Drosophila melanogaster: one gene and its partners. The protein of the gene in region 2 purifies or fractionates together with the protein of the main gene of each other region. This does not show direct contact. Each region holds a gene or a part of one and is shown on either strand. Other genes may lie near its edges.

Evidence for each region. Proteins that work in one complex are often made in the same cells at the same time.
Region 1: the proteins of CG5033 (region 2) and l(2)k09848 purify together in Drosophila melanogaster (affinity purification with mass spectrometry, with the first as the bait; one large-scale study listed by BioGRID). This does not show direct contact.
Region 3: the proteins of CG5033 (region 2) and RpL7-like purify together in Drosophila melanogaster (affinity purification with mass spectrometry, with the first as the bait; one large-scale study listed by BioGRID). This does not show direct contact.

The regions. Positions count from the first base shown.
Region 1 is NT_033778.4:6,073,171-6,078,442, forward strand, and holds l(2)k09848 (lethal (2) k09848), read right to left. Parts: upstream 3,198-5,272; 5' UTR 3,089-3,197; coding exon 3,001-3,088; intron 2,945-3,000; coding exon 1,894-2,944; intron 1,831-1,893; coding exon 1,710-1,830; 3' UTR 1,301-1,709; downstream 1-1,300. Other genes in the region: CG7849 (uncharacterized protein), read left to right, coding at 3,806-3,935, 3,991-4,203, 4,253-4,863.
Region 2 is NT_033778.4:17,787,678-17,793,636, reverse strand, and holds CG5033 (uncharacterized protein), read right to left. Parts: upstream 3,959-5,959; 5' UTR 3,891-3,958; coding exon 3,789-3,890; intron 3,719-3,788; coding exon 2,404-3,718; intron 2,341-2,403; coding exon 1,853-2,340; intron 1,793-1,852; coding exon 1,497-1,792; intron 1,434-1,496; coding exon 1,280-1,433; 3' UTR 1,189-1,279; downstream 1-1,188. Other genes in the region: Ubc10 (ubiquitin conjugating enzyme 10), read left to right, coding at 4,535-4,999; aft (adrift), read right to left, coding at 5,224-5,959. UniProt on the Drosophila melanogaster protein: Required for maturation of ribosomal RNAs and formation of the large ribosomal subunit.
Region 3 is NT_033779.5:12,054,240-12,059,551, reverse strand, and holds RpL7-like (ribosomal protein L7-like), read right to left. Parts: upstream 3,205-5,312; 5' UTR 3,131-3,204; coding exon 3,120-3,130; intron 3,054-3,119; coding exon 2,405-3,053; intron 2,338-2,404; coding exon 2,224-2,337; 3' UTR 1,660-2,223; coding exon of another isoform or gene 1,339-1,659; 3' UTR 1,301-1,338; downstream 1-1,300. Other genes in the region: Rab3-GAP (Rab3 GTPase activating protein), read left to right, coding at 1-339, 525-722, 786-962; CG34164 (uncharacterized protein), read right to left, coding at 1,339-1,659; JhI-21 (juvenile hormone Inducible-21), read left to right, coding at 4,256-4,467, 5,054-5,249.

The DNA of each region.
Region 1 (5,272 bases), about 12 Mb from region 2:
AATTTCGACGATGGTAACCAGAGCGAGGCGCCAACTTCCCGAGCCAAATTATTTGTCGGCAAACAAAAGTTTCGTGGCGCGTATCTGGATAAGCAAAACCGACGGAAAAACTAAAAGGTGCCCACTAACCGTTGATGGAGGTGGAGGTGGGGGGCAACGTAAGGATGAAATTAAAATTTAAGCTAAAAGATTGCGGAGCTCTGGTAGTGTTAGTCGCCCCATCGTTTTTCGTCGGCCAGGTTTTCCACTGACATCCAAGTTTCAATCAGCACGCGACCTATGCTTGCGTCACGCCGAACCAGTTTCCCAAAAAGATGCCAAAGATGATACCAGGACGAAATTCGGCATCACCATTCCGAGTGCGTGTGCATGCCGTGAAGGCCGTCCAGCCGGGGTTGGAAGATGGGAGTTGCCTTATCGAATCAGGACGCGTGTTCGCGTTAGAAACCGCTTCGAAGTTGGCTGGCTGGTATCTTAGTATTAACCTGCTCGACTTTTAGCTCGAAAAAGAAATTAAAAGTTTTTAGTCTGATGTAGTTCAAATGAAATTTTAGGACTTGGCAGAGCTCAAAGCTCATGCTTTAATTTAGGTAAGGAATTATCACTCCAAATTCAAAAATATGCCATCTCGCGACTCCAACTTCGATTTAATGTCTCCGTTGCTGGGCAATTTTCTGGCTTTTCGGGTCGAGTAGCTGCAATGTTCATTTAAACATTAAATTTTAAATTGAACATCTGATGGAATTAAAATTTCAACTATGTTCCTAAACTCAAAATAATGAGCATTGTTGTTTAACATATTATGAATTCAGGAGCTCTGGCTTTATTTTCTTATACTTTTAAATTTTTAAAACAAAGCCGTTGTTTATCTAGAAACGAGTGGGAAATATTATTATTATAACGCATTTATAATAATCTATATTGCATTTTTCAGGAAAACATTTAATTCTAGTTTATGAGAAATATGAGTTTATAGGCAAACATATGTATATATGTCTTCAGATACTACACACATGATATTATGTGTATCTCATATTATGTGGCCAAAACGATTTTTACAGAAGCTTACTTAAGATGAATAATACCAAACTATTGATGGCTACAATATTAATTTTTCTCCGTTGCCGTACATCTATCTAGTGTAAATAAATATTTAAACATATGTAAGATACTCCTCTAGTAGGGATAAGATACTTATACTATAAGCCCATTAAAATGCCACTAAACCACGACTCCACATAACATAAATAAAAGAAAGGGTGAACCGCAAGAGTCGTCTCTTTAAATGAGGTTGCCTCCTACATTACTGTCCCCCAAAGCCAACATTTTTGAGAATTATGTTTTTAGAAATAGGAAATAAACAACACCTTATCTTAGACTGCAGAAGCTGCAATGTTTTTACAGACCCAACACTTCATTGAAAAAATGACAGGAAGGCCACGAATCCATTTTTATGCTGGGGGTAAAACACTATAATCGCAGTCGACGTTTGTTGCTTCCATCTTTACAATATAATTTATTTTAAGTACTTGCACGCACCTCATGTTCCCTTGCTCGACAGTCAGTTCAGAATGTAATATGCAACGAAACTTTTTTAAAACAGCTCTGTGTCTACCTACGATGCCATGTTTGTTAGTTCTTTAATATAAAAACCACCGAAATCTATACTATTTTTTCTTTAATATTCTTATACGTAAATACATGTCGCTTTAACTAATCACAACTTTTTTCTTTTTGTTTTTTAAAGACTTTTCCGACGATCTTCTTTTTAGATCGGCCTTTGAAAGCTTAATATTAGACATCTCTTCCTCGGACTCATTATCGCTGTCACTGTTGGCCAAAATATAAGATTTTAGCGTATTATTAAATCACTCAATATGTAGTTAAACTTACCCCACAGTGGGCATCTGATCAAACATATCCTCGTATTCATTGTCCACAGATGTTGCGTTGACGCTCTTATTTTCACTCACGTTTCTATCCATTTGAAGGTCAGCGACCTCCTCAGGTTCTTCTGTTACTCGTGCCTCGTTTTCAAACGGTCGGATAAGAATCTTAGTGGCCTTTGATTTCACGTAGCATTGGTAGAGCAGCACTGTGGTTTCGGAATCATGGATACGAACGTATCGGTCTAGGCTTGCAGAGCTCAGAAAGCGACCGGTGGCATCTAAATGAAGGTCACTTATCCCGCCTGTGAATCCCTTGTACGTATGCACATGAGTTTTCATGCGTCGAGTGTCAAAGGCTTTTAGAGCACCCATTGTGGTACCCGTGTAAATAAAGTTTCCCTTTGCCACTAAAGTCGTAAAACTCATCCCGTGCTCCTCGCTGGCAAAACATGCAACAGGTCGACGCTGCTTACGCGTGTCATAGATGCGAACATAGCCGGTTCGCGAGCAAGTGGCCAGTACACTAGGCCCATCCACAAAGCCGATATCGCTGTCCCAAACCGGAACCTCTAGCTGCAGATAGTCGTTGGGCAAATTCTTCGAGGTGAAAATCTGCTTACCGTCGGCATTTAAATCGTAGACCTTTAGATTGTTTTGACGCTCTTTGCCGCCAGTTGCTACAATGCTTTTGACTTGGGCGCACTGGCGCAGGTGGTCCATTTGGTCACCCGTGGCGATAACCACGGGCTCGGACTCGTCGTTCGCCTCTAGCTCCAGGCTCTGTATCTCTCCGTTGCCAATGCCGGCAATAAGCTTGTCATTGTATCGGGCCAGACCAACAATTGGCGCAGCATTGAAGGATACTGTGTTCCTAGAATGTCCCTTTTCTGTGAAGGAGTGAATCTCCACGGCGTCCTTGGCCCGGCCTAGAAGGATCTCCGTCTGATCGTCGTTGCCAAAGGCCAGAGATGTGACGCGGGAATCCTTATCCAGGGCGCACAGATCACTCAGGTTGCTTTGTCCATAAGGGGTCTTCTCGGATGCAGGCACCAGGTCTAAAAAGTTGAAGTCATTATTATTATGCTGTTCGATAAAGAACAAGCGGACGTACGTTTAAAGGAGCCCGTGTGTGTTCCCACATACAGTTCGTGCTTCGCCGTGTAGTTTACATGTTTGGTATTTGCAGTAGTCCACTTCATCTCAAGACGCGGTTTCTCTCAATACTTGCGATTAAAACGTGAATTAATGGTATGCGGCTATACAAATTCGTGCGGTCAAAACAAATCCTACACGTGCAATAGAGATGTAAAAGACATATGCTTAATAATCGATGTTATCGTTTATATCGATATCTAACGGCCACCGATATTTTAATAACATTTAGGGTAGTCACTAGGCTTCAGTTTGCTGTTTACCAGTTTAAAACATTTTTTTCGTTGAAAACCACTTCTCTTGTGAGAATATAGTGATACGCATAAGACTTTATTTGATTATAACTTCTTTAAGTGCAGTTTTGTTGTCATTTTAAATGCAAGCAAATAGTATGCAAGCCACAGTGAGAATATTCCCGTGAAATTTGTAAAATTTATAGAAAATTTTAGCCCAATCGGATTTGTTTCTTGTTTTTTCGTGCGGTGGACTTAATTCTTGTTTTGCAGTGATACAAGCATGTTTTTTTGCGGGTATAAAGACCACAACGTTTTGAGAATTATTTCCAACTAAACTTTTTTTTAGAAAATTAAAGAGATATTTGAAAACAACATTTTATATGTAAATTTTATAAATTAAGTTTCAAGTGCATGTCTATACCCTATTCAGTACTGGGCAGCACATGTGCTCAGCTGTTCGTGTGTGTTCACCAACACTGTCATGTGAATTTAAAAACAAATAGCGCACATACGTAACTTAAAGCAGAAATGGCTCTCACCAAAGTTTATGATGCCGCCACAGTGTTTAAGCACATGAATGGCATTCTAAATGTGTACAAGCCATCCGGTATGAAGGTGAAACACGTGCGCAATGCTATTCTGAGCAACATTTGCAAGGGTAAGCCTAGCGCCATTTAAAGAACAAATTGAAATTAAAAACAGATCTGCAAAAGGACTCAACGAAATGGAGCAGAGGAAACCACGCAAGTTGCAAGAGAACATTAGCCTCCTGGGCACAGGCACTGCAGCAGATCACGTACTACATAACATAGGAGAGCAGACGGATCTATCCGACCACCTTCTGTCCACCGGACCGCGGTACCTTCCGCGAGACTTGATCTGCACCACAGTGTCCAGCCTGGGCGATCACACCAGCGGAGTCCTGCGTAAGTCATGTAAAACATTTTAAATCCAGATCTAACCATACTTTTGTAGTCTTTGGGATCAACAGGGGAGCAGGCCAGTCTAGTTCTATTCGGAAAAATCGACCAGTGCGGGTCTACCATCTAATCGGGCACCTAGGCATCGCAACCGAAAATAACCTACCAGACTCACGGGTCATAATGCGCTCCAATCACCGACACGTGTCCGCAGACAGGATCAGCAGTCTAGCCGCCTCCATGCAGGCATCCCATCAGCGTAAGATGTTTGAGCTCTGCGGTGTCGATTTGCAGACCCAGGAGGCCTATGAACTGGCCTGTAGGGGTCTCCTACGCCCAGCGGACGACAGTCAGCCCGTCGTCTACGGCATTAAGCTGATTCACTTCGATCGACCGCACTTCACCCTGGAACTGCACGCCATCAACGAGACGCAGGAGTACTTAGCTACGCTAGTGCACGATATGGCTTTGGACCTCCGAACCGTGGCGCACTGCTCCCAACTACGCTGCGTGCGGCATGCCCATTTTGATGTGACAGATAGTCTGCTCAGACACGCCTGGCACTTGCCAGGAATTATCAAGAACCTCCGTCAACAACGTGACATCCTGAGGGCGCATCCACAGCTTCTGCGACAACAGCGAGTGGAACTGCGAGCTACAGATTAATTTAGGAATTCATTGTAATTGAATATAGTCAAATAAATATAGGCAGATAAACTATAAAGCAGTCAATCAGGTCAATAATTCTGGTAATAATTTTTGATAAGAATATGCAGAATATCTGCTTATTTAAGTCAGCATAGTTTATTGACGGTTACAGTTCAAAATAGGTCATTTATAAAAAAAAAACGTAAGACTCTAGTTTAGTAAAAGTAAGATGTTTAAAACGTGATCTTATTAGAAGCGGTAGCCAAAAACCATACATTTCACAAATTTTTTTTGAATTAATTCTAAAAACAAGGGAGATTGCTATAGTTGATAACCTCGACCCATCGAAGGGTCAGTTGTTCCAAATTATGTAAACTAATTTCTTCGGTGCTCAATATCATTAAGAAGTGATTTTTTTCAGGAAATG
Region 2 (5,959 bases):
GTGCTGATGTTGCTGCAACAGCTGCAACATGTAGGCATCAGCAGCTAATTGCACTTGTTTGTAACTCGAAACGCCAGCGATTTTTGGTCGTTGCACTTATCACAAATCAGCTGCTTGGGTTCTTTTGTTGACCATTGCCTTTAGCCTGGCTATCTATGTATATTATATGTATATTTTGTTTTATTTTCTTGTTGTTGAACCAGCGCTTCCGTTCAGATTTTCACTCAAACACCACACACACGTTTATATTTTCTTTGAGGATTTTTGGGCGAATGGGTGGGCGGGAAAAGGGGGTCGCGTTTGTATGTATGTATGTTTTTGAGGAGCAGCGACGAGTACATACGAATTTTTGCCACTAGAATCGGAATCGAAATGTGTATATTTGTATATATTTTTCTTTTTCGCCCCGAAATTGTTTTGCTTGTGCTTCGATTTTTTTTTTGTGAATTTCTTTACGATTTTTTTCGTTGACTGTTGAGAATGTGTGTGTGTGTATGAATACGAATTGGGGGAAACTGCAATTTTCGTGGTCACTGGACTGCCTGGACTGGCATTTTCACATTTTCACATTTCGCCCTCGGCCATATTTTATTATATTCCTTCGTGCTCGGTGCCCCCGCAATGGCAGCCAATTCCCATTCGATTTCTGCGCTCTGCGATTTTGGCTGCTCAGCACCAGCAGCACCCAGAAGCTGAAGCCAAAATCCTCGACGGGTCGATTCGAGCGTTTCGAGATTCTCTCCGCTCGGGCAAAGGCAGGCGACTGATTTCCAAGCAGTGCCGTGTCGCCAGCTCTTGATTTTGATTTTCCAATGCGCGCGCTCCTCCCGAGGAACGCAAGATAACGGCGAGTGGAAAGTGGGCAGCCGGGGGAGGGCTCCATAGGTGGACTGAGCGAAAAGCTTTGTGGAATTGCTATACAGTTAGAATTCCTGGTACACACAGGAGAGGGACTGACAGGCGGAGAGCGCGAGAGAACGGACGGTAAGACATGTGCGCGAGTCGGAAAAAGAGAATAAAGCTCGGGACTCTTCGCCCCACTGGAATTTACCGCAAAGCTTTGGGGCCAGAACTTATAAACTTTCGGCAGGGTTGCACTTACATTTTGATTTTGGGATCCCGTTGATTTCGAAAACCGTTGTTTTTAAAATGTTCGAATGAAATGGTTATATGAAATACTTTACTTTTCATAAAAATTAATATATTTTTTATTTACTATTGAAATTTCACAAAACTTTCGGAAACTAAAAGAAACTTTCTTGGGGTTTGTACACCTAAATTACGTGTATAGTCGGATGGTACTGTCCGCGCCCGTGGAGAAGACCCATGGCTGCACCGGATGCCAGTTAACATCCAGCACACCAAACTCATCGCGTTTCTCGTGTGTTTGCAGCTTCTTGAGAGGCACAATCAAAGGGTTTTGCAGCAGGTCACTAAAAAAAAGTTTGGAGAAATTCGTAATTAACCTTGGGCAATGTTGATTTATAGCCACTTACTTATAGACCATGCCATGGGAGACGATCACAGCCTGGTCATCGCTGCCGGAAGCAAAGAGCGGATATCGAAGATGGAAAGCAACACTGCGAACTGCATTGCGATGGAGTCGCATGGTCTGGTAGGGCTTTGTGGACAGATCCAAATCGAACCAGAGCATCTTTTTGTCATAGGTGGACACCAGCAGATTGTCGCCCTTGGGATGAATAGACATGCCCGATATCCATTTGGAGTTGGTCAGCAGCTTCTTGACAAGCTCTTGTTTGACCAGATCATAAATGCGAATGTTGTGTTGCGTCTGTAAAGAAAAAACAGAATTCAATAAGACATACTAACAAAAGAAAATTAACCCACTTACCGCCACAAAGAAGCAGGGCTTCACCGGATGGAAGAGCACGAATTGGATGAGACCCTTGCTCTTGGAGAATGGAATCTGTGAGCGCCGCTTGGACAACTGATGAATTAAAGCCGAGCGGTTAGCACCTTCGGGCATCACTGTGGCCAAGTAGTCACCACGACCGTGCCAGGTCACCTGTCGGATGGGTTTGAAGTGGGTAATCACTACGCGGACGCCCTTCTCCTGCTCATCAGCTTCCGCATTTGACCATTGCACCGCCGTCTTGATGCGTTCACTTTCAATGACATCCTGACTGGGCGCCTCAGCCAAGAGATCGTCGGTCTTCTTCACCAGCACCTTATCGCCCACTTTAGGATTGACGAGCAGCAAGCGATTGCCAGTGGCCACCGCAATAATAGACAGCTTGGGATTTGGACACCAAGCCACACAGCGTACCACTTCGTCGGTCTCGATTGTGCGAATGCAACGACCTGTTGCAATTTCCCAAACTGTGAGGTGAGATGGATTAGTAAGAAGATATCTAAAAGGTTGTCAATTAAATTAGTACTTACTCTTGACGGTTTTATCATCCGAACCGGAGACGAGGTACTCTCCCTTGGGCTCCACACTAACAGACCGCACCAGATCGGTGTGGCCACGGTAAACCATACTCTCCACCGTGGGAAAGGGTTGCAGGTCACGCGGCGAGGGCAACTTGGGGATAAGGTACTCGGCATCGATGTTCAGCTTGACACGCTTTGCACGGGGACACAGGTAAAGATCCAGGCAACGAAGGAAACGCTCCCGAAGGTATCTCGAGTATGCGGGCACCTCCCTCAGCGACTTGAACTTCTGTGGCATGAAGTGCAGCTTGCGCTTGTGTGGCTCGTCCTTTAGTTTAAGCCACTCCTTGGTCTCCTTGGCATCGAAAAGATACTCTGGCGGTGGATTGTAGGACTCGGCATGACCGGGAAGGTCGCGTTTGGGCGCAGAGACTGGATCGTGGATGCGGCGCATGTGTTCCCGACTGGTGTCCGTTTCCCACAGCATGTAGAACTTGGGACCGCGCTTGGCCTGCTTCTCGCGTTCCACTTCCTCAGTGGTCTTCATCCAGCCCATTTTGAGGGCGTGCACCATGCGAGAGACGCGCTTTTTCTCGGAAACTGAGGGCAGGAAAGAGCGTTTGTGGTCGGGTACGTTCTTGATGGGCATCTTTTCCACCTCCGATGTGAACCATTCGATCCAGGGCTCATACTCTTCGTGATCCTTGTTGGGTATGCGACCCGAAACGATGCGCTTGATCAGAGCAATGTCCTCGTCTGTTAGGCGCACATCCTGACCGGTAAGTGGATCCTTGACGGTACGCCAAAAGTCTGGGTCCTCGATCTTACGCAGGAACTCATCAATTTGATCTCCTTGTGGTGGTTTAATAATCTTCTTGGCATCCCAGTCGTAACCGATGTGCTTGTATTCGTCGTACCAGTGCATGGGTATGTTGCCTACAGTATTTCTTATGTCCTCCTCGTCGGAGGTATCTGAATCCTGATACTCAGGCTTCGAGCTATCCCGTTTCGGGAGCTCTGCTGTAAGGGCTTTTTTAGACGCGGCACCGCTTCCACTGGGCTTATCGTCTGTTTGCTTTGACTTGGAATCCTTCTCCTCATCTTCCACTTCCTCTCCATCAGTGCTTTCCTCCTCTTCATTATCCTCTTCATCACTACTTTCTTCATCTTCCTCAGCTGATGAAGATTGCTTTCTGCCCAAGTAGTTGCCCTCCTCATCGCTCTCGAACTGCAGTTCCTCACTGGAATCCGAGTGGTATTCCTGGTCTATGCCCTCGTCATCTGTTGAATCTTCGCCGGGATCTTTTACAGCTTGCAGCAGGTCCTTAAAGAGCACAAACACACATGCAGGTCATTTTGAAATGACTTTTTATATCACTGTCAATGGGTCTTACCTCCTCCTCCTCCTCGTTTTCGGAAGCCTCGGAACTGGCCACCACTTCATTTGTGGGTTCCGAATCCTTTCCTCTGCGTTTCAGAGCTAGTTTTTTGGTCATTTTGAGGTAAAAACAAAACTAACGCGGCGCACGTGTTGCAGTCAGCGATAGCGATGGGAATCGCCTGAAACGGTTGCCTATCGATTGGCTTGCCGCCACTGCTGCTGGTAATCGGTTACAAATCCATTTGGAAACAGCAACCCTTTTATTTTCATTTGTTACCTCTCTTAAAATATACATCTATAATAAATACTTTCCAATAAAGATTTATTTAGTATTAAACATAATATTACAGCCGTTGCAAGTTGCAAAATCAAGACAAAGTTATACATGACCAATGTATATGTATACCAATTGCAGCGCCGTTGCGAGCAAGTCTGCAAAATACCCTAACGCTAATTGGAAGATTCTTCAACGAACCATTTTCAGCGAAATTCGCAGACTTACGTGCGGATTTTTTTGGGCCAGTGCGAAAACCAAAGGTGACACCCCGCAACTGGAGCACTAGGAGCTCACCAACAACGAAACACCGGCGGCTGAACGAGAGTATTACATATCCGGAAGACAAAACCATCGATTTGCAGCTCACACAAGGGCAAACAAAAGTGCACACGCACACATTGGCAAGGTGGCCCCCTCCTCTTTCCGTTCCACACACACCTACGCACACACCAGCATAAGAGAACCCACACATAGACATCACGATGACTGCGCCGCGACGCCTGCGAAAAGAATTGAGCGATTTGCAGGGCAACGCACTGAAGTCCTTCCGGGACATTAAGGCGGACGATGACAACCTGCTGCGCTGGACGGGATTGATTGTCCCGGACAATCCGCCGTACAACAAGGGCGCCTTCCGCATCGAGATCAACTTTCCGGCGGAGTATCCTTTCAAGCCGCCCAAGATTAACTTTAAGACACGCATCTACCATCCAAACATCGATGAGAAGGGCCAGGTGTGCTTGCCCATTATCAGTACGGAGAACTGGAAACCGGCCACACGCACCGACCAGGTCGTGCAGGCACTGGTGGACTTAATCAACGACCCTGAGCCGGAGCATCCGCTGCGGGCGGAGTTGGCCGAGGAGTTTCTTAAGGATCGCAAAAAATTCGTGAAAAACGCCGAGGACTACACCAAGAAGCACAGCGAAAAACGTCCGGCCGACTAGCGGATAGGCGGAGGTAGAGCTGGAGGAGGTGGGCCAGTCCACAACCCATGTGTACCCTTACCCCTTAGTCTTGTGATTTTTCTGTTAGTTATTTAATTTTCATTCTTGATCCATGAAAAACTATCCTCAGAAAACATTTAAGCAGATATTTCCCCGGCAGAGTACCTAGTTTTGTAAAAGTAGCACTGTAATTTGATGCAAGTGAGAAATACATGTTCGTTATGTTAAAATACAGCTGCCGACTCTTGGATGGAACCGACATCTGAGTTGGATGTCGGAGCTACGGGCATGGGAAATGATTCCTCGCCCAACATGCTACGGAAGCAGGTCATTACAATGCTGTTGTTGTGCTGAATGAGGGCCTTGCTGAACTGGTTCTTCTGCAGCTCCTTAATGTCCAGCAGGCTGTGAATGGCCCCCGCCTGCTCGTCCTTAAGAAGTTCCAGCACCTGTTCCAAGGCACTGTTAGCCGTATCTTTTAGCTTACTCAACGTGAGAGTTTGCGCTTGATTGCTATTAAAACAACAATCCTGATAAACGCTCTCTATGAGAAATAAGAGCAGCGACGCCGCGTAATGGGTGAGAAACAGGAACTTGTGGAAGACAATGCTGTCGGGCTTCAATTTCTTTACTTCTTCCAGGAGATCAATGAAAAAGCGCTGCTGGGCGGTGTGGAATGCCTCGTCTTCTGTTGGTGGCAGGTAGCATAGTGTCTTGCTTTCCAACTGGCACTTTGGCGCAGACTGCCAGACAGGGTCGAGTTCAAATGTGTCCAGGATGCGAAGGCGCAGAATGAGTATTGGTTCCGAGGCAAACATGCTGCTTTGCAGGCTCTGAACAGGTGCTCCTCGTGAAATGTGAAGATTCAAGGGTGCCGTTCTGTTCTTAACGTATGAATACGGTGTTCTATTGTTAAGACACTTCTCCAGTTGATTAAATTCCCGACGCAAGCAGTAAATC
Region 3 (5,312 bases), on a different chromosome or scaffold from region 2:
CTGCTCCGTCTTCAAACAGAACTGTGCAGCGTGCTGCACTTCGTTTCCTTTTTCCAGCTGCGCATTCCAAAACCACTGACCACGCTTTTTGACTCCATGAGCAACAAAGCTCTGCTGGCGGACATCAATAAGGAACTGCCTTATGTTTTGCCTGCACCAGATCTTGTCCTGCAACAGCAGCGCACTGAGTTCCTGTGTCGCCTTGTCACCGCTACCATGGATCTGATTAGAGAGGATTTGGAGCAGCTGTACATTCTCGATCATGTTTTCTACATGGGCAAGATCTGTGCCTTAGCCGACAGTTGGGAGGTCGATAAACTTCCTATCCTACGACGGCAGGTAAGAATGTACATACATATATGATCCCAGAATTCCTAATCTAGGAACCCATGAACACACATGACAGGGAGCTTACAATCCCTTTTGCCTTTCAACATCAGTTCGTTAGTTTGCTCCGTAGAGAGCACAACAGAGGAAACACAATGGAATAGAAAATATATTCCAAATATTTTTCCCTCCTCCAGGTGGTGGAACTGTACGCTTTTGGGTATGATGCGGAGGCTCAAGTGTTGCTCCAGGACATCAGCGATGACGAGGAGCTGGGCCGACTGCTGCTGGAGATCGCTGGCCGTAGACTTAATCTTTACGCACAGAGCTCGCAGTCCACGTTCCTGAAGATTGCCTCTGTTGGCCACCAGTTGCTGGCCTACCTAGACAACCTGGTAAGTGCTGCAAGCGCATATATCATTCGCAGTACTGATCCATTTCTCACGCCGCTTACGCAGAAGGAACCGATGACGGAGAACAACATTCAGATCGCGGCCACCAAGCCCGACGAGATCGATGTGGCTGCCCTGGACAGGCTGTTGTCGCATGCCTACAAATACCTTTGCCGGCGCGAGTCCAAGCAGCTGCCCATCATTGGCCAGATGTACAACGCCGTGCGTATCCTGCAGAATTAGGAGTGAGGATGACACATAAACACTTGGTTATTTTACATTTCTCTCATGATTTTTATGGATTCAAGAATGAACCCAATATTGATTGTTAAAGCACCACATGCGGTCCCATTAATTGTCTTATACTTATCAACCTAGTAGCGATTTAAACAACCTACGAAAAGCATCATATTAATTACTTTCAAGAAAAAGGATACTAAGATCTGCACCGATAGGAGGATGTATTCAACACGAATTTGATGTGAAGCTTATGCCTACAAGGATTATGAACATGTATATTTAATAAAATAAAAAAAAAAATTTTAATATTCTTTTACTAAATTTAAGGGATACCAAAAGATAAAATAACAATACTTTCTTTATTGATGCCCAACGTAATTTAATTTATATTTGAGCAGGGATCCAAGCGGGTCTTTGAACTTCGTGCCTTGGGCGCTGCCTCCAAGTTCTCCGCCTGTATTCGTCCGATTGCCTCCGGCGTGGGCAATCTCTCCGGCATCATGGTGGCGTGCACTTTGAGATGAGTGTAGACGGCAATGTAGCTCTGGCTGGTGTCCAGTTCGATGGGTGGACTCTGCTCTATGCGGCCAGGCAGGGCAAAGTGCTTGCCAAGAATGGGTTCCTTGAGAGATCGGGCCAGAATTTTTTGCAGTCCATCGCGGTCGGTGTCCAACTGCTCGCTGTTGAAACTTGAATTCATTGAGAATTAATTGAATCTAAGGATTTTGAATTCCAATGTGTAGTCCCTGGAGTTTTATCCGAACAAAAGATACGACGACCCGAGTTGCACTAGGTTAGTGGCACTGACTCCGACTAATCGAAAAACAACAGTTCCTCCTTCATGGCAACAAGTAGTTCAGTTTGGCATACCTTTCGTTTGCGAGGAGCCACCTCGGTTATGACTTATTTATTATTCGAGGCAGAAAGTTGATTCTCTGGTTTGTTCAATTTGGGAACTCGGCTGGGACACGCAAGGCCAAGAAGCAAAGAACTTGTTTCGTGGGTGAAGTTTATCATGTTGATAAACATGTAGAATAATGAGGAATGTCGTTAGAGACAGTTTCATGTGGTTCCTTAATAGTCGCAGGATTGCTTTTATAGGCATACAGTAAACTCACGATAGTGCTGACCTGACCATCTATTTTCTTCGTTAAATAAGTACGCTCAAATAGAATACGTTTGTATATAGATGTGTATTGGGCTTAGCTACAGAATGGGTTATAGAGGTTGAACAATCACTTAAGGGTTTACTAGGCTAGGGTCTCTACAGGCAGCGGGCAATCAGTTCGTTGATGGCAGTGCCACGATCGCCGTACTCGCCACCGCGTTTGTACGAGACGGATACCTTCTTTTGCCAACCATTGCTGGGACTGGACAACTGGAAAAAACCAAATGGCGGTAATAGTATAGTTTTAAGAATTGCAAAAGAGAAGTTGTTAACCAACCGTGAAGGCGCACAGAAACTCATTTACAGCGGCGAAGTTTGGACCCACTGTGCAAATTTCGTGGATTATATCCTCCAGACAGATGACACCCTTGTCGCCCAGCTGTTGCTCCACCATGGTGTTCGACTGGATGGCCGTCTTCTTGCCGTCGATGCGGGCGAAGCCCTTCTTGAAGACCAGCTCGCGAATGGAGCTCAGCGAGGGATTGCCGTAGACTACAAAGGGTTCGATAACGCGCAGCAGCAACTGGTTCTCCTTGGTGTTCTCCATGAAGACGGCGTTGTGGCGCGAGCCCATGCGCAGGGTTCGGAATATATCCGCGGTGGTCTTGTCGAAGATCTTCTTGCCCGCATGGCGCATCACGAAGAGCAGTTTGGGATTGGAATCGTCGGCAGCTTTGGCACTTTGTTCGGTGACATTGGTGCGCAGAATGGTTTGCTTGATCCGCTTGGACGTGCGCTCTGCTTTCAGGTAGCCCATTACGAAGGATTCGGCACGGCGGAATTTGTGGTGATTCTTGGTGGCGGTTCTCTTTTTGATGCGGTCATTTCTTTTCTGCGTAACAACAGATTCATCCTGCAGAATTCTCCTCTTGCGATGCTTTAGCACCGACACTGTTTTGCCGGGCAATTTGTTGGGCACCGCATATCTAGGGATCAAAAGTATAAGATAATGTTTAGGGTCAACACATTTTTATAGTTTTTCAATCACTCACTTGTCTGACATTGCTGGTATTTGGCTTTTTAATCGAAGTAAATTAAAACACGTGCAAGCACCAAAACAATAACTAAAAAGGATAGAGGTGGGCGCGGAGCGATAAGTGCTTTGCTATCGATAAGTGATGTGTGCAACAGCTGAGCGCGTTTCGTGGTGAATAGCTAACAAATTTGAAATTTTTGGCGGGAACATTTAAGAAATTGTATTATTCAACTGAAAACTATGCTTAATAGTTATGCCATAAGATAAATTTAGCATTAGCTAGCATTCAAGAGGACAGCTTTAATGTTTTCTTCTTGTAAGTAACCATTTGACATTAATTTCCGGTTTTGAGCACTCATTTCTCATTTTTTTTCTTTACACTCATTCTCTCTCTCTCTCTGTTTCTCTCTCCGTTTGCTGCTCTCACTCTCTCACTGCGTTTTAGGGTGAAAATTGCGTTAATTTTAGTATGAAAATGCCGGTCTCGATGCCAACGCACAGTCGCTGTTCGCAGTCAAAGCCGTTTTGTTGTGTCCGCGCTCTCGAGGTAAAATAAATCGTGTTTTACGTGCAAAGTCGCTGGGAACAAGATAAACCGAAATTAATCAGCCAAACTGCATTCCAAACCTTGCGAATAACCAACAAAAAAAAAAAGAAGCGAATAAAAGCAATCGAGCAATTGCCAGAAAAACTGCAACTCTGCAACTGCAAAATTCATTGCCACGCGTCGTAAGGTGATGACGAAATCGTGGAAATTGGCACGCGGCAAAGGCGTCACCATAAAAGTGGAGCTCCCCATTAGGCAGCTACACACCACAACATGCCAACCCCAAAAATCACCCTACTTTAAAGCTAAATTTCGTGTATCGAAGATAGTGGCGTCGGGGAAACATTCAAGTTTATGCCTGACAATGGGAGATTAGTTAGCTGCCAGCGAGGCAAAAATCGGGTCTTCTTCACTAGCAATTAGTAACTAAAATCAGCACTATAGCATTTGTTTACAATTTGCGCAACACGTGCTCGCGCCCCATTTGCTGATAGTAATGAAGGCTTTTTTTTCTACATTTCAACTTTTACCCTTCATTCCAGTGACAATGTGCGCTATTCGCCATTAGAAGAGGGTAAGCAGAAGAATCCCACAGTGCAGACATCATGACGGACCGATATGCCAATGGAGTGACCACCAGCCTGGTCGAGCCCACAAATGGATGCGCCGCGCCGGGTAATCCAAATCCCGCTGATGGCGAGGAGAAGATTGTCCTCAAGCGGAAGCTAACACTCATCAATGGAGTGGCCATCATAGTGGGCACCATCATTGGATCGGGCATCTTCATTGCTCCCACGGGAGTCTTTATTTACACCGAGTGAGTGGTGATACAGAGCATCCTCCTTAATTCAATTTATGCACAAAAAAGGTCAATTTAGCTGTTAATTAATGGATAGATTGTCGCAGGCATTCCTTTAGCACCAATTAAGATACATTTATTAGTTCTCGATTTTCCCTCAAAGATTCAACCTTGAAATTCTGCCCACATATTGCGTCAGCTTTTTAAAGTGTTTTTTTTTTTTAAGCGAATTGTCTCCAGTCACAAGAATAACGTCAATAAGGCGCGCCAAACATTTAAATTATTGATAAGAGCCACAAAAAAAGGTGTGCGTCATAAGCTTAAGGCGGCTGCGAAAAATTCCAGGAAGTTAAATTCATAAAAGTATTTTATCGAAATGAAAGCTAATCCCCAGCACTTGTTTTTTTTAGATGTTTTGTTTAAATACCATTTTACTATTATTGCTTACAAATATTTGCCACCGAGTTAATATTAGATCTATATTTATAATTTTTATTGCTTTATATATATATATATGTATGTATTCCCTGACCATATTTGTTTACGAGTGTTTATTTTCATTCAAATTGTTTATTGATTCGATGACTACTTTAAATCATTTCAGATCCGTGGGAAGCTCCCTTTTGATTTGGCTGACTTGCGGCATTTTATCGACGATCGGAGCTCTGTGCTACGCGGAACTGGGCACATGCATCACAAGATCTGGCGGGGATTACGCCTACCTGCTGGTGTCCTTTGGACCGCTGGTGGGATTCCTTCGCCTCTGGATCGCACTGCTCATCATCCGGCCAACCACGCAGGTCAGTTCCTATAGTACTCATCAATTGAATTACGGAATGTTTACTTATTTGGCTTGATTGATC